Lepisosteus oculatus: one gene and its partners. The protein of the gene in region 3 interacts with the protein of the main gene of each other region in a pairwise test. Links are inferred from orthologs where the notes say so. Each region holds a gene or a part of one and is shown on either strand. Other genes may lie near its edges.

The links.
Region 1: the proteins of stac3 (region 3) and mab21l3 interact in binary tests that used the Homo sapiens proteins (3 or more experiments, as listed by UniProt). The two-hybrid records come from large-scale screens. The link is inferred for Lepisosteus oculatus from reciprocal best matches to the Homo sapiens genes STAC3 and MAB21L3.
Region 2: the proteins of stac3 (region 3) and pparab interact in a two-hybrid assay, tested with the Homo sapiens proteins (2 studies listed by BioGRID). The two-hybrid records come from large-scale screens. The link is inferred for Lepisosteus oculatus from reciprocal best matches to the Homo sapiens genes STAC3 and PPARA.

What each region holds. Positions count from the first base shown.
Region 1 is NC_090710.1:33,057,190-33,064,311, reverse strand, and holds the start of mab21l3 (protein mab-21-like 3), read left to right. Parts: upstream 1-4,076; 5' UTR 4,077-4,181; coding exon 4,182-4,229; intron 4,230-5,890; coding exon 5,891-6,031; intron 6,032-6,898; coding exon 6,899-6,970; intron 6,971-7,122.
Region 2 is NC_090702.1:4,311,654-4,319,159, reverse strand, and holds the start of pparab (peroxisome proliferator-activated receptor alpha b), read left to right. Parts: upstream 1-4,504; 5' UTR 4,505-4,727; intron 4,728-7,506. UniProt on the Homo sapiens protein: Ligand-activated transcription factor. Key regulator of lipid metabolism. Activated by the endogenous ligand 1-palmitoyl-2-oleoyl-sn-glycerol-3-phosphocholine (16:0/18:1-GPC). Activated by oleylethanolamide, a naturally occurring lipid that regulates satiety.
Region 3 is NC_090696.1:18,375,648-18,383,561, reverse strand, and holds the start of stac3 (SH3 and cysteine-rich domain-containing protein 3), read right to left. Parts: upstream 3,084-7,914; 5' UTR 2,862-3,083; intron 2,445-2,861; exon of another isoform or gene 2,366-2,444; intron 1,505-2,365; 5' UTR 1,442-1,504; coding exon 1,425-1,441; intron 1-1,424. Other genes in the region: R3H domain-containing protein 2, read right to left, coding at 6,552-6,868, 7,501-7,585, 7,879-7,914. UniProt on the Homo sapiens protein: Required for normal excitation-contraction coupling in skeletal muscle and for normal muscle contraction in response to membrane depolarization. Required for normal Ca(2+) release from the sarcplasmic reticulum, which ultimately leads to muscle contraction.

The DNA of each region.
Region 1 (7,122 bases), on a different chromosome or scaffold from region 3:
CTCTTTGTAAGAGTTCATTGCTCAGTACTTTTATTCCTCAAAGCACAGAACCATACAGTATACCTGTACCTGATTCCAGAGTCATATCAATTTTGTAATTAACCAAAACGGAGCACAAAATGTGAAATTAGGTCTTACTACTGCATTCTTTAATTTTAAGTACATTTTACAGTACATTGTACAGTTTTAATCACATTTTGAAACAATTTGTCTTTTTCATTGTCCCCCCAGATTTTCTAAAAGATAGAAATAGTGTCAATATAATCTTCTGAGTCAACATCTAAGTGTTTTCAATAGATTGCTCACTTTTGAATTGTCTCTAAATTTTCCTGTCTTTTCCCGCAAATCTACCTATTTTGGTATCATCTGTGACCATGATTTATTGATTAATTTTGCCAGAATTGAGAACAGTGATATAAATTAAGAATAACTGTGATCCCTATACAGATTCATGTGAATTAAGACCAAAGTACAACATTTGCAACTATGTTATTTTACCAATAACTAATATAAATTAGAATAATTTAAAATCTGTAGCATATTCCCAGATGTACAGGGACTGGCCACAGTTAGAACACCAGTATTAATAAGGGAAGGATATTTTTCTGAGACTGAAGCCTATACAAGCAGTCACACAGATACATTATTGCTTCATGTGAGTTAATACGTTCCTGCTGGAAATGGGGGCGTAATCAATTCAGTGGCTTTGAGTACAAATTTAGAAAAAAAAATCCTCTGGTCAGAAGTCAATGGCATCGACTGTGTCAGATCACATTACTGTGCTCAACCGCTGATAGTTTCCTGTTTTTCCTGCTTCAGAAAAGTAAGCCAACTGTTAAGTTCATTGAACTGTTCTGCATGCTATAAAATGGAAATAGTCAGGCTTATACATCAGCCTTCTTAAAAAGTGTACTAAATGCATAGGGGCTGATTCACACAAGGCTGTAGTGTGATAGGACATGTATAAGCTCAAGGGGAAACAGCATACACACAAACCACAGACTGAAGTGTTTCCAAGCCCTACATGCATGTGCATGTTCTAAAAACAAATTTCATTTAAATGTTATGGCTCTGCTAATTGCACTGCAAGGCATTCAAATGATGTTGAAGGACAAAGTAACCAGAGTCATGATATGCGCTTGCTATTCGCAAACACTCTGTAGATGGAGTGCCTAATTTACACATACATTTGTACAGATGATAAACAGGTAGAAGGGGCTGAGATCCTTCTTATAAAAAGGAAAAAGAAACGTCCACATCCTGAATGCTCAAAATACATGGATATTTGTTGAATAAGAAAAATCTTGCTATATTGCCAAGTCTGCATCAAACTTTAAGTTAGCACAAGCACTTTAAATTACAGCATAATGACACAAAAACATCTGGATTACATTTTGCAGGGCAGCGTAGTGTTCACATTTATTTAACAGTTCATTAGTTAAATTGTACTTTTCTGTGTTATTTTATCCTCTGTGCATTGGTAGTCACCATTATTTTACTGTAAGACTGTGAAATGCCAGTATTTTAATCATTGCAGATCTATTAATACATATTATGTGTTTGCATTAAACTAACCTAAAGTAACACTTTAAGCACCCTAAACAGTAAGTCATGATTATTCTAAAAATAAACCTTTAATGGTATTTATTGGGAGTTTACAGTTGTTGACAACACAGTCAGATGTTTTAGGCTAGCTGCTCTTTATGATCAATTAGACTAAATCCCAAATCATTGTGAGTCACTCTAAGTGACTGTTGTGGACTGAACAGCGCAGAGGTTGCTATGATAAAATGTTCCCCTGGGTCCAAATGCTAGCTTAATTTGTTATCTGTTTCCATTTATGTGTTTTTGCTGTACCCATGACTTGACCTATAAAAGGAGTTTTTTCCCCATCTTTCTGTCTAAATGCTGTTTTTCCCCATTACTTCAAAAATTCAAAATACAATGTATCATAATGTTGGACTGTAAAACAGCAGATGTTTCCTCAATAAATGTTAATTAAATTTAAAATGGTTATATTCTCATTAAATACGACTTAAGACAAATAATAAACTGATGAATAAACTCTAGCTTTTTGACAGAGTACTGGACAAAAGTTATTCACTATAATTCCACCAGGATGTAAATTGGGTGCACTTTGGAAGTGATAAGTTATAAATGTGCTGTACTGTATATGTACGTGGTTAAGTATAGTTTGCCTAAGCTGAATACTGTATATACAGTATGGTATGTAGTCTGGTATATTCAGCATATGACTATCATTCCATTACTATATATTTTAAATTATTGCTTAGTTAAGAACAACACGTTCTTTGTTTAATGTAATTTTAACGTAACATCACACATGCCATTTAGTTAAGAAACCAAGAAAGATAAATACTTTAAGTTTGGAGTTACCTATGTTTTTAGTTTTCATTTCTAATTGTAATAACAAACACCATGAATAGAATATGAGAGACATGCTTTCTAACTGTGCCATACACATTTTTGCTCACAGTCTTGTACGGATTTCATAAATGTAAAGAGCTGATGTTGATAGAATAGGACTTAAGTGTTTCTAATCGGGTCTAAAGCACAGTATTACTGTTGATTTGTTACCATTAGTTCTCACCTCCACTGAAATCATGGTCCCACAGTAGTGAGTTTACTGCCAATCCAGGTCTTCTGGTCTGCTGTTGGTCTTCAGTTTTCCTGTTTGATGCATTCGGGACCCTTTTAAATTTGAACATATTAGTTTTATTATTATTCTCTGTCAGCCTATTGCATCATTTGTTTGTTTGTTTGTTTGTTTGTTTGTTTTGGTGTGAACAGGTACTATATACTGTACGCCAGAACATCCCATGGGTGTAGTCCCACCATGGTTTGGTTCACACCACACCTACTGCAGGTGTCCTGTTTTCCCATGTACATAATGTAACCTGCACGTTTGCTGTATATTTAGAGACATTCGGTGTTGACTAGATTATCGGAATATAAAGTGGTTTATGATATTTACATTCTGCTTAATGAGCTTATCTGGTTAAGTCTGTTGGCTACAATGATTTCCTTTTATGATGCTATAATCTGGGTTTTGCTATAATCAGTCTCTGCTCCTGTGTGTGTGATCACAGATTTGTGGGTTTTGTAAGTCTAACTAGATATTGTACTGACTATGCATTCCTATATTTTCTATATTATAGTTTTACAAGTTATCAGTATCCCCTTTCCCTGACCTTTCTGTTTGACTCTGTTCATCTGCCTCTGCTGCTCTGTCGCTCAAGTGGAGTTAAAGCTCCAGTAGCTGTTTTTGTAGGTCAGGTCAAAAGTTGTGAAACCTCAGATTCCAACAGATCTTGGCAGGTGTTTATTTTCTGCCTTTAGGCATCAGTTTGAATAATATACTGGCTTTGCTGTAAAGAATTTTTATCTCGTTCACATTCCAGTTTACAATATTAAAAATATGTAAAGTGAAGGAACCTGTTCTCTTGATTGTTGCATTTTGCATGTTATCGTCTTTCTAGGTGACAGAGCCTTTGGTGTTGAAATGTTAGCTGATGCCACTGTGAAAGTTGTATCTGCAGGTATAAAGAGGGCCAAAGGTCAAACAGAACAGGTGAGATAATAGTCTCCGTAAAATGTACTGTACCTCAAGTTAATGTTTCAGATTTCCACATAACTATGGTAGTATTCATAAAGCTAATCAATGTTAGAGAAAGTTTATTCACGTTCAATACCTTCAGAATGTATTATAGTTTATTTACTCTCAAACACCTTTCTATTCTCTGTATTTATTGTGCTAAGTATTTTTTATTATGTATTTATATATTATATGGAACCAATAGCATACATAAGCATGACGTACCTGTATATGTTAGGAAAATTGCATTGTATTTAAAGTGATTTTAGTAACTGGTTGCTAATGTTCTGTGTTGTTTTAATGGGTGATAGTTTGATAGTATGATTTGGAGGACTAAGGGACCATGAGAACACATTCATTCCTAAAGTCAATGGTGTTTAATCAATAACGTAATGTTCAATTCCCTTTTTTTGGCTTGGTGTTAAACGCATTGCCACATTGAAGCTTGTGGTGAGTGAGATACACATCTGTGAGAAGCAAGATTATTTACCCAGAACAAAGCAACAAGAATCACACAGAACTACAGTAAGCACATAAGTGAACCAAAATACAAGCAGAGTGTGAAATGACAGGTTTTACAGAGGAAGACTTGGACAACTTCCTACAAAACCAGGTAAATAATCTGAAGTCTTTTTTGGAAAAAAATATTTTAAAATGATTTAATGTTCTCTTTCCCTCTCTTGTGTCTCTTTTGGTTAAAACATTACTACTTTATTTATACAGTTAATGCAGTATAATATATAATATAATATAATAAATTGGCTCAGGGTGTGGTAAGATTGTAATCTTAATAAATTACATAAAATTATATTATCAGAAAGACTATTTTATCAGGTTTCTTTCTAAAATGATTAGGATTGTAGCTGCTCAATATACAACAATGTGTAAATGTGCTGCATGATGTGTACAGTATTTATGTATTTCATTGATTCTGCAAGAGTGACCAGTATTGTACTAGAGGATTGCAATGTGGTGATCAGTATTTTATTATCCAATAGTTGATTTGGTATCAATCAGGAAATATTTGCATATATGCATTACAATGATATTTAATGAAGAATTAAATATAAGGTGTGTCATATTGCAAGGCAAGTTCCAGATTATTTACCCAATCCCAATTACCAAATTTTATATTAAGCAAATACTACCCAATTACCCAGTCTATTTTAACCTAATCCTTTAATTAGTCTCAACTTTCCTTTAATTTTATTTGAGCAATAAAAAACATTATTTTGAACACCAATTAAGGATATGACTTTATGAAATATAAAATTATCTAAAACAGGTAACAGTATTTTTTGTATGGCTAGATGTTGCATTTATCACTCTAATACTAAACCTTTATTTTATACACAGTAGGGTCTTTCATGCCAATACATCAGTACAGATGTAAACAATCAACACCTCATAAAAAAAACATGTTGAAAAAAGAACAAAATATAAAAATAAGTATGAGCTAGCCTTCGAAGATAAATAATGTACTGTATATTCCTTGTATAAATGTAATTTATCGTTTAAGAAAAGAAGAAGGTGATTGATGGAACAGCACTTCAGAAACTTAAAAATAACAAATGTTTGTCTTTTTCTTAACCCAGAGTTAGAGTGGTCATGTGGAAACTGTGGTAATGGAAATTGTATTACAACTGCATGTAAACTGAAATAAAATTAATTAAATTCAGTTTTTGACTTAAACTTTGAATATCATAAATACCTTATTCAACATGTTGATCAAAAGTCATTTATCGTAATTCTAAACTTCATTTAAAGGTACATGTAATGCACACCCACCCTAGCTTTTTTGATAACCTACAGTATAACATTTGTTCTGCTTATTTTCCTTTCAAGCTGAAAAATAACGGTTCAGTCATTAAGCCCCTGCTCTGTCTCGTGAATGACATTCTTATTGTATCATAACATTGGTTTTGTTACATTACAACAAAACAAATCATATTCTCAACTCTGCTTTTTTTTTGCTGGTAGTCAGTACGTCCAGTTAAAAACTTTCTGATAAAATGATTTACGTTTTTTAGTTTGCATTGCTGTTGTATGTCACACCGTATTGTATGAGTAAACTTTATCAATGTAATTGTGGGCTGAGGAGGTGGCTGTGTGATAGGTTTTGGGCCGAGAGGCAAGAATGGCAAAGAATAATGTTCCTGGAGAGTTTGCTATTGGCCGACAAACTGAGAACATGCCAGCAGCTCTGGCACTTTCCCAGCAGAGGGAATGGTAGGTTTCCTGTGGCCTTGTGGCTCTGAATGCCCCTTTCTGCAGGTGGATCTCCGACACCGTCAGGTGTCCAAGACAGTGGACGAGGTTCAGCAGATCATCAAGGACCTGACCTCAGAGGTGAGCACCAAGGATGGCCGATTTCAGAGCATCTCCAACTCTGGTGTCCACAATGATAATATAAAGGTACATTTTATATATCCTTTTTGGTACATCTGTATAACTTGTTTACCATGTTACCTGAGAAGCAGGGTAGTGCCTCAAAGGTTGGACCCAAATACTAGCCACAGATTAATAAAGGACATTCGTAATGACTGTAATGTATTACTGGAAGAAAATAAGGTAGAAGAAATTCAAATTAATATTATTGTATGTGCCTACATTAGTATTTTACAATTAAGAAGTCTGGCTTATACCAATTCTGCCGTAAATGTATTTTGTTGCATTGCTGTAATAGGAGTAAAGAGGTTGTCACAATTACAGGCACCATCAACAGCCTTAACTAGATCTAAATCCAGCACATTCGTATTGACAGCCCTGTAATTAGAGTGTGCAGTTGCAAAGCTCATGCCAGGCACTCTCTGGATCTTTTATTTGCTTTCAGTCTCCAATTTCAGAGTTTTGCCATTTTCGGATGTGGTTTCTTCCTCTCCCTAGTTTTAATTCCAGAACAGTCCCTTCAACACCCCTCCATAGAGGTTTTCTTAAACTGCCAGCATGCCTGTCTTCTTTGTGTTTTTCTTTCTTGGGATTCCTGCTGAAAAGAATTGTTTTTTGTGAAAATCAAATGGAGACCATATTATCTTTGAAACCCAAATTATCATGTACGTTAAAATGGCCAGTGTTTATTAGAAGTTCTATAATAACTGCATACTGTAGAATGTCAATTTTGGGGCACAAGTATCTCCAAAGGGGTTATGTTTAAGGTAGTAAGATGTACAGAATTTCAACACGTAACGGTAGCTGTAGCTTTACTAAAAATGCTGGTTTAAAAACCCTGTTTACTCAATACTGTCCTCTTCTCTGACTCTCTGACTTCACCATGCTTGCCAGGATCAACCTGCTCTAATGGCCAAATGGGCAGCTCTTCTGAGGGGAAAATGTGCATTCAACCCAGCCATCCAGGTAGTGTCTCGTGTCTAAATCAAACCATTTCACTGGAATTTCTGACTGTAGAGAAATACCTGTACATTTCCCGTGAATCTGTCCTGACATTAATGATATTAATATAATTAATCATTGGTACTGTTTTCTGGAATTGAAACACTGTGTACACT
Region 2 (7,506 bases), on a different chromosome or scaffold from region 3:
TTAGTAGTTAGGCTTATCCTTGAAAAGTGTTTACTGTTCAATGTACTATGAAGGTTAAAACCTGTGCCTTTGGTGAGGTCACTTCCTCTAAATCCTAGACTTATTTCAGGACTTGCAGCTGAGAGTCTGTCCTGATTCAACAGTCAAAACTGACTTAGCATGCTGCAGTACTCACCTGTTCTTTAACCATCTGACAGACATCGTTATAAGGGCAAGATTGTCACAAATGCTGTTCATATAACATCAAATATTTAATGTTATGTTATTTACTCGTTTGCAGTTTTACCTGGCTGCTTTTGGTGTTGTTTGTCTGATGTCTGCTCCAAGCACAGGAGAGTTTAACGGCCACCCAGAGCACAACTGGCAAATTCCAACTGTGATTATTGTCATTTTTCTGAGAACAAATAGTAATACCATAACGTCAAAAGTCTCATGATTACATTCCTGTAATTCTACAAAAGGACTCTGCAGAATCACGATGATATTTTACCCACCTTTACCATTGATTACACAATTATTATTTTTTTGCCGTTGGACTGTTACCATCAGTACATCAGTGCTGCACCTCAATAAGAAAGCCAAATGGAGTCGTCACATCAGTTAATTTCGTAACAGACCTCTGTTGAACGGTAAATCTGCTGGTATCCAGACGAAGAATTGTGTAATACTTTGCAAATTCAAAAAAATGGGCAGCGACCTCATTTGAAATTTGGACAGAACTTGGAGAGGTGCTCTTTTATTTGTATAAAAGTTTCTGGTTAAATGCTGTAGGACGTAAAAACCTAATTGTGGTGGTTATTGTAATAGAAAATTGAATGGACGCCATGGCAAGTGAAACTTTTGTTTCAAAGATTTTTATAATTCTGAAAGCTACTGTTTTTTTTTAAATTATAACAGTTGTAGAAGGATCAGCCTGCCTGTTTTTTTTTTTTTTAATTCCATTAATGGACGGGAATTAACTGGAGGGCATTGCAGACTGTGTGGTTTTTTTTTTGCTTTTCATTTTAGGAACCGTTTAGGAAACAGTTAAAAAACCAAAGTGACACGGTTACGTTCCCTGAAAAGAGAATGGATAACTCTCCCCTGGATAACTCACAAACAGCCCCACTACACGGCCAATTAAAAAACAACGATTTTGATTTAAACCTCGCAATATTTGCAGAAGACGAACGCCTATGGCCCACAAAAAAATAATTAATCTACTGGGCTCATGGTTTACTAGTTGTGGCTGGGCTGTTTTCTGTTTTAAATAAATCTACAGTATGAAGCTTGCTACAGATTTTAAGCTTCTTTTCAATCTTAACTTTAATGTTTATTCTGTAGAAACTGTGTAGAACATGAGATTATTTGGTTTGTTTGCATACAGTACATGGTTATACTTTAAGTATTGGTGTAATAATAATCGCTTACACTTATTCCGCTTTTCTGGACACTCCATTACCTCCACTTTACAGGTAGGACTCCCTCCACCACCACCAATGTGCAGCCCCACCTGGATGATGCGCCAGAATGCTCACCTAATGTAGCCAATTCATAGATGGGGATTATTAGGAGGCCATGATTGGTAAAGGCCAATGGGAAATTAGGCCAGGACGCCGGGGTTACACCCCTACTCTTTTCGAGAAACACCCTGGGATTTTTAATGACCACAGAGAGTCAGGACCTCAGTTTTTTACGTCTCATCTGAAGGACGGTGCCTGTTTACAGCATTAGGACCCACATGGACTGCAGGGTGAGCACCCCCTGCTGGCCCCACTAACACCTCTTCCAGCAGCAACCTTAGTTTTTCCCAGGAGGTTCCCATCCAGATACTGACCAGGCTCACACCTGCTTAGCTTTAGTGGGTTACCAGTTGTGAGTTGCAGGGTGATATAATAATAATAATAATAATTGCTTACACTTATATAGTGCTTTTCTGGACACTCCACTCAAAGCGCTTTCCAGGTAATGGACACTCCCCTTCACCACCACCAATGTTCAGCATCCACCTGGATGATGCGACGGCAGCCATAGTGCGCCAGAAAGCTCACCACACATCAGCTATCCGTGGGGAAGAGAGCAGAGTAATGTAGCCAATTCATAGATGGGGATTATTAGGAGGCCATGATTGGTAAGGACCAATGGGAAATTTGGCCAGGACACCAGGGTTACACCCCTACTCTTTTCGAGAAACGCCCTGGTATTTTTAATGACCACAGAGAGTCAGACCTCTGTTTTACGTCTCATCCGAAGGACGGCGCCTGTTTACAGTATAGTGTCCCCGTCACTATACTGGGGCATTAGGACCCACATAGACCACAGGGTGAGCTCCCCCTGCTGGCCCCACTAACACCTCTCCCAGCAGCAACCTTAGTTTTTCCCAGGAGGTCTCCCATCCAGGTACTGACCAGGCTCACGCCTGCTTAGCTTCAGTGGGTATGGCTGCTGGTGTACTAAGAAGGGCTCTGTTAATTTGTACCAAACCGTTTTCAGTCAACCATCGTGTTAATTTTTAATTAGCTATATCCATTTAGGCAGGTATCCAGATTTTTTAAAATCAATTTAATTCATAAGGAAGCGTCTTATGCCAAACATCAGACAGGTTACGATACAGTCATCTTGAACTTGAACTTGAACTTAATTGCCATATGTTACCGGTACTGGTACAATGGAATTCTTACTTGCAGAAAGTCTCTCGATTGTAAAACAAGTGTAAAAAACAAAACAAAGTGCAAACAGTGCATCAAGACAATGTACAAACAAACAAACAGACAATGTGCAAGTAAACATGTAGACAGTTTGAATGTAAACAATACAGACGTGTAAACAATGACTGGAGATGTGCAACAGATAAGAAATCATAAAGAGGTAGATGGTGATGGTGTACTGTAGGTGTGGTCCGAGGGGGATGGCTAAATGTGTTCGCCAGTCTCACTGCTTGTGGATTGAAGCTATTGAAGAATCTAGTGGTAAGTGTCCGTATGCTCTTATATCTCTTGCCTGAGGGCAGTGGGGTGAAGAGCTCATGCCCGGGGTGGTGACTGTCCTCTGTGATGGCCAGAATTCTACCACGGCAGCGGTCCTCATAGAGCTGTTTAATCTCGGTGAGACCGCAGCCGATGATCTTCTGGGCCATATTGACCATTCTCTGCAGTGCCTTTCTTTCTCGCGAAGAGGTGTTGCCATACCACACGGTGATCCCGTTGGTGAGGATGCTCTCGATGGTGCAGCGGTAGAAGTTCACCAACACATGTATTGGCATCCCCCATCGCTTGAGGCATGCTCACAGTCCAGGTTAGATCTTTAGAGATGTGAATTCCCAAAAACCTAAAGCTGGTGACTGTTTCCACTTCCGTTCCATCAATACTGAGTAGGCTGTGAGTGTATGGCTTGTGTCTCCGAAACTCCACTATTAGCTCTTTCGTTTTCTTTATGTTCAAGTCCAGGTTATTGCTATGACACCACCTAAGCAGCTGTACAACTTCATTCCTGTAAGTGGACTCATCATCATCACTGATCAGTCCTATTATAGTGGTGTCATGTGCAAACTTAATGATGCGGTTGTTGCTGTGTCTTGCTGTGCAGTCGTGAGTGAATAGGGAGTACAACCTTGGACTCAGACAGCAGCCTTGTGGGGTTCCAGTGCTCAGGGTGAGTGGTGTTGATGTTTTATTGCCTATCCGCACCAGCTGTGGTCTCTCGATAAGAAAGTCCAGAAGCCAGTTGCAGACAGAGTTGCACAGACCTAATCCCATGAGCTTTGTCACCAGTTGACTGGGTATGATAATATTGAATGCTGAACTGTAGTCCACAAACAGCATTCTCACGTACGAGTTCTTAGTGTCCAGGTGTTCCAAGGCTGTCTGCAGAGCCAGGGAGACAGCATCATCCACTGATCTGTTGTTCTGGTAGGCGAACTGCAAGGGGTCCAGGGACTCTGTGATGGAGGAGTTGATGTGTGACAACACCAGCTTCTCCAGGCATTTCATCACCACAGATGTTAATGCTACTGGGCGGTAATCATTCAGGCATGTCACTTTTTTCTTTTTGGGGGTTGGAACGATAGTGTTTTTTTTAAAGCAGGTGGGGACCATGGACTGTGACAGGGAGGAGTTAAAGATCTGCATTTGTTTTCCTAAATGAATGCACTCTCTTTTGTAAGTAGATAAAACATTCATGTAGAAAAATAACATTACTATGTATATTCTATTTATTTTTTATTTTTTTTGGGGGGGGTGAACTTCGTTAAGTGATTAAAAAAAACGACAATTCAACGTGCACCCCTCTTCAAGCCGAGGGTCTGCTACCGTGCTGTTTCAGGACAGCGGCAGCAATGCCCGATTGTAACCAGCAGTAGGAGCAACAAGGCAAGCTGTTTGAATTTCGGTGTCTGGGGGGGTAGGGGTTAGCCGGCGCAATTCCGCCGGCCAGCCGCGCAATGCGATTCGCCGAGGCCATAGGTGTGTCGGGAGGTGTGTGGGCATGGTGGCTTAGCACATGTCAGTCATGTCGTCATTTCCTGCGGTAGACGTGGGGGAGGCACTGCTGTCTGGCTGCGCCTACTGTGGGATTTTGACAGTGGCCGTGCTTTCGTAAAGAGGCAGGCAAATACGTGCCTGAAAAGCCCGGTTTGTGTTTTTTTTTTCTTTCGCTTTGCTGTTTGGCGGATCGGAGCCCTGACACCTTTCGTCCCTCCGCGGCGGCTGGCGAGGCAAATGGCGGCTTCTGCAAGGGCACCTGATGACAAGGTGAAACGATTTTGTTTTTTTTTTTTCTTTTTGTAGGCAAAAAAAGTTCAAGGGACTTCTTGCCAGCACAACGTCCCCCCTCACTCGGCGTGCAGTAACTCAGCTGCCCGTCGTTGAAATTGCACGTTGTTGCAAAGTCTTGTTTTTGGAAGTTTTGTGCTTCTTATGAGAGACTCGGCTTTTCTTTTCACAACTCCCGTGTACCATTGATTAGTCTCCTAAATTGACCCCATGCATAGTTGTGATATTATATGCGCAAAGTTGAAAATCACACAACACCCGTATACCATGTCTAAACCCTCGCAGATGTCATTCTGTTTCTGGATGGAGCATGCGTGCGCATATGACGAATAGCAACGAGCTGCAGGCAACTATACAGGTTGTTTTCCGTCCTTTACATGCTAGTTATGTATCTATGCATGCGGATCTAATAACTATATGCTGTAGGAGAACTAATCACTTCCTTCGTGCTTTTTTTAGCTGCGCTTTCAGTTGCGGGTGATGCGATGAACATTACTGACAAGTTGATAGAGAAGAATGCAGTTCAAGTCCTCCGTGTTTACTTCAAGCGCAGGGTTTATTCTGTAGCTATTTCGTGACAATTATACCGTGTAGGCAGAGGATTGATCATGACCTGCAACATATTCTTTGCTCAGAAACGTGTATTTAGCAGTGCAGTCGTGTACCAATTGTCTCTACACAACGCGAGTTGAACAGGAGTTTAATCAGTTTAGTAGCCTAGCATTGAACTTCGACTCTACGTAGAGCAAAGGTAGGGTTGGAGACGGGAAACAGGAGTCATAAAAAGTAATTTTAAGAATATTCTAATGTAATGATAAAATAATTACATGTTTTTAACCCCTATGTTCATATATATTTGACGAGTCTTTTAAACGTAAACTTTTCATTTCACTTTTTGAAAGTTCTGCTATCAACACGATACCTGTGCACTTACTCGGTAAATAGCGAAATTGGTTAATTGGTGCAATTCAACGTTTTAATAAACGCCGTTTAAAATTGAGAGGCCAGTCCTCTCGAAGAGCGATGGAGGGTAGGTTGTTAACCGGTCACTGCTGGTGTCTTAATTCACCGCCGAATTAAATAAACGAAATACCCGGTCCTCAACATTTCATCGATGTAGCGGATTAGGTACAGCTGTCATGGGATTTTACAAGCTTTCGCAATGCCTCCTTAAGCCTAAAACGCAATTTTGGCTGCCTTGCAGGCCACTGTTGCGCACAATGGAGTTGTCCTGTGCAAAGAGAAATCCTTCCTCTTAACTCCATAGTCTCCGAGTAAAATGTCACTCGGGCAAATCAGGACTATGTTCTCAAAATCAGAGCCGGTATCCAGCCGCTGTGTCATAATCAATTACGGGAGCGTGTCTCGAACTGAAAAGTGGAAAGGGTGCTTTGCAACGCATAATCTCGTTTACTTGTAAAATTGGTGGGGTTACAGTAGCTGGGACATGTAACAGCGCTCGCTTTTCTGTCCTATGATAATAAAAAAAACACGCAGCCCAAATACAGTAACTTGGTAACCACCACCAGCAGCTAAATGTCTGGCTACAGTATTTTACTGGGGTTAGCAAACGTTTCGGACGATGTCGGCTGTGAAATTACCTCAATAGGTCGAGGCTCTGATTTATTTAAATTTATTGTCGTGTCTCTGTTCTTTATTTTTCATCTGCGCGGAGAAACGTTTTTATCGAGACTGCGGTAATTCATCGGGCAGGTGAAGGGTATTTCATTAAACAAGTTGGTTTCCATGTTATATATCGCTGGTTGTGTGCGTGGTTTCATTTTTACGATTATCGCCTTCTCTTTGGAGAGCTTGTTTTTCCACTTCATTTTTGGTCCGTTGAATTTCTAAGTGCTACCCTGTGAATGCCCTTGTGGAGGAAGGGATATTTGAGGAATATTTTCATGATGGATGAGGCAGTGCGCCAACTGTTGTTTTATGACAAAGTCCAATTCATACTGATGTAAAAGTAACAGTTTGTGAACAATCTTACTAGTGTCTTTTTGCAGGCTTTCTGTAAATGGTGGGTACAGTGATTTTGCTCCCTTTGTGAACAGTTTCATTTGAGGCCCGTTTCACCCTTGAAATATGCACAAAGTTTTGTTTTGGTGAAATCTTAACATGACGTGAGCTCACAAGAAATACATTTTGATACCCATGCTTCACAGTCAATAAGTGAAACAATATATCATTCTATACCTAAATATTTAGGGAGGTAGCCAAGCTGACAAAAAACTTAAGTAATACAGTAATATTTACCTTCACACATATATGGCGATTATGCTGAATTTTATTCCCACTTGCTGTGTTTAATACAGCCAGTAAATTTTGAGAAATTCTAAATCTATAAACTATGAGAAAATTGTATCACATTGAATACCTATTTAAATAGGGTTGTCTTGCTAAAAATACAGATCAAAGTCAAAATACTGGATCAAGCAGTTGAAGAAAATTGTATGCCAATAAAGACTTATTTAAATTAACTGAGTCGTGGCTGTCTATTATTATTATCAGATGCACATATCCCATAGAATGTGTGATATATCAAATTATATATGAAGTGCACATTAAAAGAAAAAATATCAAACACAGTATGAAAAGCTAATATCAATGCATCATTGAAAACAAAGCAGTGAGGTTTAGTGGACATGCAATGCTTGTGCAGTGCAAAACAGGGAAAACTAATGTCCTCTGCATGGAAAACAGCAAGGAGGAGACATTGATTACAGTAAAGAAGGAGCCTCTTTGAGCAGGAGGG
Region 3 (7,914 bases):
CTGGGGTGCTGTCTGTGTGGAGTTTGCATACTCTGTGTTCGCATGGGTTCCCTCCCACACTCCAAAGCCATCCTGGTAGGTTAATTGGCTTCTGGGAGTGTTGGCCCTGGTGTGAGCGAGTGTGTGTCTACGTCTGTGTTTGTGTCTACAGTATCTGCCCTGTAATGTACTGGCGTTTCATCCAAGATGTGTCCTGCTTTAGCCCACTGCTTACCAGGACAGGCTCCGGCTCCCCTGTAACCCTGAACTGGAATACGTGGTAAGAAAATGGATGGGTGTACAGTAGATAAGTGTGTGGTTGTGTTCACACAGAGCATGGAAGACTGCGCTTGCTGGCCAAGGCTGCAGGTTCTCAGACATCATACTCGGCTTCAGGAGAACCAGCTTTTTCCAAACTATACTGAGCAGAGAAGATCGAAATTGCATTTACTTTTTGTCTGAGAGGGATTCAACTGATTGTAGAGGTCAGGATTATGCAAGCATTCAAAGGTAATATAATAATAAAGGGTATAATTATATATTACTATGTAAGGGCCACTTTTGACCTTGGTTTTACTCTATTGGGTCAGAATGTCACCCGGGTTCCTTGCAGCCAGCACCTGCACAGATCTGTGCTGAAATACCTGCCTGGCATTCTACAGCTGTGCAAAACTGCACAGAGCTGTGCAGGAATGCAGGGACCTGCATGAGGAAAAATGCAGCCTGTAATTCCAGTGACGATCTGGTGTAAGAGATAATAGTATTCACCGCAAATCGACGAGACAGCAGGGAAACTGCTGTTCCTAAAGAAGACCGTGGTGACAGCATGGGCTTCCAAGGCCTTTTTCAAGGATAACAGAACTGTCTCAGTTCACATCCTTCACGGAGCTTCTTCCTGCATTCAGATTCTCAAGGGCTGTACAATTCTAGTCCAGGATTGCACTGTAGGTTTTCATTCCTAACTACCTAGTTAATCTAATGGGCGGAGCTGTGGCGCTGTGGCTAAGGATCTGCGCCTGTGGCTGGAAGGTTGCCGGTTCAAATCCCACAGCCAGCAGAGGAATCCTACTCCTCTGAGCAAGGCCCTTCACCCCAACTGCTCCAGGGGCGCTGTACACTGGCTGACCCTGCGCTCTGACCCCCAGCTTCTCTCTCCCTGTCTGTGTCTCATGGAGAGCAAGCTGGGGTCTGCGAAAAGATTAATTCCTAATGCAAGAAATTGTAGAGGGCTAATAAAGTGATGTTATGTTAATGATTGGCTGAATTGGACCATCTTCTCCCAGTTTTCACGTGTCCTTGCAATGTTGCTAAACCTCAGGCAGGGTGGGGTTTTGACAGTGCAGCAAGATCACCCTCTGCTAGAGGCTCTAGGCACTGTGCTCATCAGATCAGTCACATTGCCCAACGAGCAAACTGGGCGGGAAGACGGAGGAATCGGGACTCACTGGTCGTACTGCGCCATCACTGCTGGGGGAAGTCTCCCTCGCTCTCAAGCACGGGGCCACTCCTGAGGTAGCAGGACACCCTGCCAGGAGAGGGGAGAGACACACAGAAACGCTCTATATTACACCATTGCACTGCCATTAGCACTGATGCAGGTAATACGTTGACCACTAGTATAATTTGAACACTTGTTACAGGTGCTTTTGCATCTTTTAGCATAACATGAGGAACAAATCCATTACAGACAGCGAGAGTAGTAGCCGCGGCAGTAGAAGCAGAGATGGCGGCAGTCACGACAGCAGTGCAGGGACCAGTAGATCACTAGCTGTAGGTGAAGGTGTGGCAGGAGAAACAGCAGCTGCAGAAGGGTAACTACCCGCTGTGGCAGCTGCAATATCAAGTACATAGCTTCAGTAGTGGTGTTGGCACTAGTAGCAGAAGTGCAGGTGTCCTGGTCCTGATCCTGGGAACCCAAACATCTGCTGGGTTATATTCCACCTGAGCGCTCAGTTAAGTAATTGAACCCTTAACACACCTGATGATAACAGGTGTGGTCTGAACTCGTCGTTTGCAGTTCCTAAACATGGAGGAGGTTGTCTGTTAGCCATTGCATTTAAGTAACACGAGGACTCCAGCCTTTCAGCAGACAAGCATAGCTTGGCGGGGTCCTGGCCCAGCGACTTGTTGGTTCAGTTAAGGGCTCATTTGAGTAAAGAGCTCAGCTGCAACAAACGCCAGCAGATCCCCAGGGTCAGGATTGGGAAGCCCTGTCATGGAATAAAGATAGCCCCGATAGTAGCACACGGTGAAACTGGGAACTGGGATAACGAAGCCTTGGGCAAGCTGAAAACAATTCCTCATGCGGAGCGCTCCTCCTGTGTTACTGGCCGCCGGCGCGAAGGGAAGGCGGGTGTCGTTCAGGTCGACCAGTCCGAGGACTGACCAGCACTCCTCCAGGTCGGCCCAGCCTTGCCAGCCCAAGGAGAACAACGGGAATAAACAGTTTCCAAACACTTCTTTCTCCCGATTGTACACCAATGAGCTCTGCCCCGCTCTCTCTCTCTGTGTGTGACTCGCGCTCAGACTGCTCTGCTCTATTCCTGGTTAGGGGGTAACCTGATCTCCACATGACTAAAACCGGAGCATCGTGGGCCCAGGAGCCCAGATTGAATTACAACAGTAACGCTCTAGAACACTCACTGGGGTGTCCGACTGGAGCTTAATCTCAGAGCATTAAAGATTGGACCAGAGCTACACACGGAGCATTTTAATCAAGCACCTCTCCTAACCCCAGTCAGCATTTCTGTTTCGCCTGTGCAATCGGAGAGACTCAACAGGAACGATTCCTACAAGAAGAGGAGCCGTAGGGGGTGTCCAGCTCTGAAGCCAAAGCAAAATACACGAGCCCCACCCGGGGGAAAAAAACACAATCCTCTCACCTCCTTGGGATTTCTCTTCCCCTCTGTGGCTCTAGTCTCTTCAGAAAGGAATCGCCAATTGGAAATTCCTGCGCGGTTTCCAAAGGGGCTCGAACTTGCCAGTGATATTAACACCAGCAGCGCAGTCCGGCACAATTTTGTCCCTGGGTTTTGCTGTGGTTGACTCTCCAAATGGCCCTTCCAACAGGAGGGGTGTTTTTGAAGCCAGAGGACCAGAGTGTTGTGGAGAGGGGGGTGCGCGCGTGTGCAGAGGAGTCAGGAACAGCTGACACGGATTGAGCAACGAGGAGCTGACACCAGGAAATCAGACACCTCTGATGGGACAGGCTAGGGGTCTGTCAGAGGGAGACAATCCCCACCTTTATCATGTCGTTACTGTGAAAGAACTAACAATTTGCCAACAGGTTGTCAAGGATTATTTCAGACTCTCTAGACAGACCACATTTACTGTATTCATTGCTTATTAACCATGAAACAAAGAAACACCGACAGGGAGACCAATGCAAGAACAAACACAACGTGTTCTAAAAAGCGTACTTAGCACAGGTTAAGTCAAGCCTCCTAACCAAAATCTTGATCACTGATGGCCAGGTTCAGGTTTCTATGGAATCAACACTTTTACCTCCTACTCTAAATTTCAATCAAGTTGGGTCAAAGCTACTTTATTAATCTGGTCCAAAACCACCAATCTTTCAGCAATAAAGGAAATGTACAGCCGATCAGCCACCTGACCTAAAACACTCCAGTGTGTGATGGGACAGATGAATACAGACGACATCTCATTATAATACATTTATCTAACCTTTTCTGGACACTCCACTCAAAGCGCTTTACAGGTAATGTGCAGCCCCCCCGGGTGATGAGACAGCAGCCATAGTGCGCCAGTACTCTCAACACACATCAGCTATCAGTGGGGAGGAGAACAGAGTAATGAAGCCAATTCATAGATGGGGATTATTAGGAGGTCACAATTGGCGAAAGCCGGGGAAAATCTGGCCAGGACAACACCCCTACTCTTTTTGAGAAATGCCCTGTGATTTTTAATAACCACAGAGTCAGGATCTCGGTTTTACATCTTATCCAATGGATGGTGCCTTTTTTACAATATAGTGTCCCCATCACTAGACTGGGACATTAAGACCCACACAGTCTGCAGGATGAGCGTTCCCTACTGGCCCCACTAACACCTCTTCCAGCAGCAACCTTTTAGCTTTCCCAGGAGGTCTCCCCTCCAGGTACAGGCCAGGCTCACACCTGCTGAGCTTCAGTGGGTTGGATGTCTGTCAAACCCGCAGAAAAACGGGGCCCAAACCAAGTTCCAGATCTAACCAAAGCTATAGAATTCAAAAACACACATGCCCTCCAATTACACTTACCTCAGCAGGACAATGTCTTATTGATGTTGCTAAAGCATGGCACCTTGATTGAGGTTTCTCACCTGCGCACCTGATCACTTGTGCAGGATGGCTGCTGGAGGGAGTGCACTTCAGTGTCTGGAAGTAGGTGCCTTCCCGCATATTAAAGGCTTCGAAGGCATTTGGGGAGGAAAGTGCTATACAAATTCAACGAATCATGGTCATACTAATCTTTGAGAGACAGGTGTGACTGGCACCCCTGGACAATGGCTTCCCCAGTCCGTTCCAGTGTCTTTACCACAGGATATCAATCTCAGGGCTGGTCTGACCTGTCAATACAATGTCTACTAGTTTCCACTCCCCATTACCGCCTGTTAACAGCGTAAGGCTCCACTTCCCAGGAGCTTTCAGGTCTTTGTTAGACCCCAGGCAGTGATCATGCAACCAAACTGATTATCCTTTGACCTGAACTATTTAAATACTTCTCTACAGATCTTTATAAACATACATATTAACATTCCCTACAAAGCATAAGTTTCTAAATCAGAGACTGGTCAATAACTGGATCAGTATGAATTGAAGGGGAGGGTGTGGGAGGAGCAGACGAGGTCTATAGCCTTTCTAAAGGAGCCGTTGCAGACAAACTGGCTGGGACCACACTGAAAGCATTTCCCCGATTCTGGCAGACTTGGTTTTTGCTTCTTCTTGGAAGAACTCTACGACACTACGGATTGCTATGGCTTCAGTCCAGATCAGCTCCTCTTGGGAACCCTCTTTCCCACTTGCCTGCTCCTTAAATGTTTGCTCATGTTGCAAAACCTACCCACTTAAATCCCCCTGCCCATCTCATAATTCAGTCTGGGGGGGAATTTCTCACTCGCGCTGGTGCAGGGCGGCCAGGTGGGTGCAGCACTGCAGAGGGAGATGATGTGGCTCCCCCCTGTGTGTGAAGCACACAGGACCATTTGTGGGGGGGGGGCAGAGATAAATGCAAGCAAGTATAAGCAATGTGGAAACTATTTGAAAAAAAAAAACATCATTCTATTCTTGCTTACTCACGTTTAGGGGTTGTGGTCATCAGTTTCTACAAGTGTGTCTTTTTTAGGAATATGAGCTTGAAAAACAAACCGAGTGAGTTTTAGGTTGCGAACACTAAACAATACAGTTCAAGCACTGGGCAGTAACTGATCCATTACAATAAAAAGATCATTTTAAATGGAAACTTTGGGAGAAACTGGCACTTCTGCAAGTCTGCCTTTAACAAATGCTCTTCTGGATGTAGGCTTCCACTGAATTCCTCCAGAGCACTGTTCGAAAGAGAAACAGGAGGAGTGGGGAAAAAAGAGAGACCAAACAGGCAGGCAGGGTTTTTTTTTCACTTTTATATTTTTAAAAACAAAAATAACAGATTAAATAAAATTTACAGTAGACATATGCAATCAATTGTGCACTTTTTAAATACTTCTTCTGATACGTTCTGCACAGCTGTCAACGAAAAACGCAAACACAAGAAAGAGAAAAGATCAAGGAGGAGGAGCAGGAAGATGGAGGAAGAAGAGGCAAGGCAGGGGAAGGGGAAAGCGAGGGGCTGAGAATGAGCAGGGCGAGAGTGTGTGGTGAGGACGGGAGGGATAAACTCTTCCACTGAAATCACTGAATATATATATTTTTAAATCCTTAAATCACTTATATAAATATATTCAACCAAAAAAAAACAGAAAACAAAAAAACGAAAACGAACGAAGAAACAGAATAAAGAAAAGATCAACAGCGCAGCACATGAAGCCACAGCAGTAGTAAGGCAAACAGAAGCCAACGGAGGCAGCCAAGAGAGAACGAGAGAGAGAGAGAGGTGTGCGCTACAGTGAGAGAGAGCGAGAGTGCGCCAGGAGAGGGAAGAAGTCGTGAGTATGAGTGAGAAGGGAAGGTGAGGGTGCAAGAGACCGGGAGTTTGAGTAGAGAAAACAGGACAAGGGGGAGGTAGCAGAGGAGCAGAAAATAAAAGATGGAGGACAAGTTTGGGGGGTGGGGTGGGGGATTGTGGGTAAAGTGAGGTCGACTGTCCAGTGTGTCCTCGTGTGCGCCGCGCGTCGGGTCATCGTACGTGCGTGTGGGTGGGTGGGCACGCGCACACGGTCAGTAAATGCTCCACACACATACGCGCATCAAACCGCACGCATGCTCGCGTGTCTTGTGTGCTCTTCTGACAAAAAAAAAGACCCAAAAAACAAAGGTAAATAAAAAAAAATAGAAAGTTGGAGTACGCCAATCTGGAACTTCTCCTCCCTTTTGTCGAGACGATTCGTTTTCCCCGCCGCGACCCTGCCCCGCTGCCCTACTGCGAGCTGGCCCGCTCCAGAATCCGCAGGTCATAGTTCTTTTTGGTGGCGCGCAGCTTGAAGCGGCTGGTGGAGTTATTGAGTTTGAAGGAAGCGCTCTGGGCGGCCATGGTGCTGGGGAACACGGCCACCACGGTGTAGAGGTGCGCCGGGTCGTTGTCGCCCTTGCCGCCCCCGCCGTCGCCCCGGCCCTGCGTGTCCTTCAGCCACTGGATCTTGGCGCCCGACATGGCCAGCTGGTTGAAGAGCTTCTCGGCCTCCGTGCGCGTGATGCCCTCGGGGAGGTCCGTCACCTCCAGCACGCGGCTGACCACTGCAGGGGGTGGCACAGAACACAGGCAGGCTGAAACCTCACCTCTCTGCCACCGCGGCCCACTAATCCTTCAGCCGCACGCGGCAAACAGCCCATTCGGACTGGACGGGGGAGCCTGCAGAAAGCCTCCTGTTGACATGCCCGTGATCCTAACCTTCTCCCCCAGGAAAAACTTTGCCCTCCTCCTCCCTCAGTCATACAAGCATGAAGGCGGCATTTTTTATTTTTTTACTGCCAATTCCCATAATTCCAGATGAGAAATTTGTTGTGATGTCCTTATTGAATCATGTCAAGCATTCCTGGATTCCTGGAAAGGCCAGAAACATTTCCATGATGCATGGGTGTCACTGACCAATCTTTCCCATACAGGCTTTACAAAGGAGTTTGCAAGACTGCTCAACGCCCTTATTACCTCAATACAATTTACCAATAATGCAGAGGAACAGCCCTTTTTACAAGGTCTGGTTTGTCTTAGAATGACACACTGGGTAATTTTGGTAAAAGTCGAGCGAGGAAGACAATAAGGATGCTGGGAAAGGAAGCAGGGACCTAATGGGAAACCACAGGTGAGGTTAACGAGGAACGGCACCTTTAAAAACCCAAGGGCACTGGGAGAAAGGTCAGAGCCTCACCTAAATCGTTGGTGCCCAGGTCTGTGGATGCTGATTTCAGGGTCTGTCGCTTCCCTCGCGTGCCATGCTTCATTCCAGTTTGTCCCTTTAGCAGGAAAGACAGGCGTTGAGGAAAACCACAACATTCTTCGGGATTGAGCTAAGGGACCATCCCTCCTGAAGGGGGCTCTGCAGTCTACTCTGCCTTTTCTGGTGTGTGTCGCAATACTGTACAGTCAGAATAATAACACAAGCTTCTCTTTTTCTTGCCTTCTTTAAGGTCAAAGACTTGGCAGATGCTCAGAGCACAGTGCACACGGGCACTCTAGAAATCCTATGGCAGAGAGCAGCCACACCAACAGACCAGGGATCTGTGTGGCACAGGGCGGCAAGTCTCACCTGGTGTGTGGGATACGAGGACTGGCTGTGGATCAG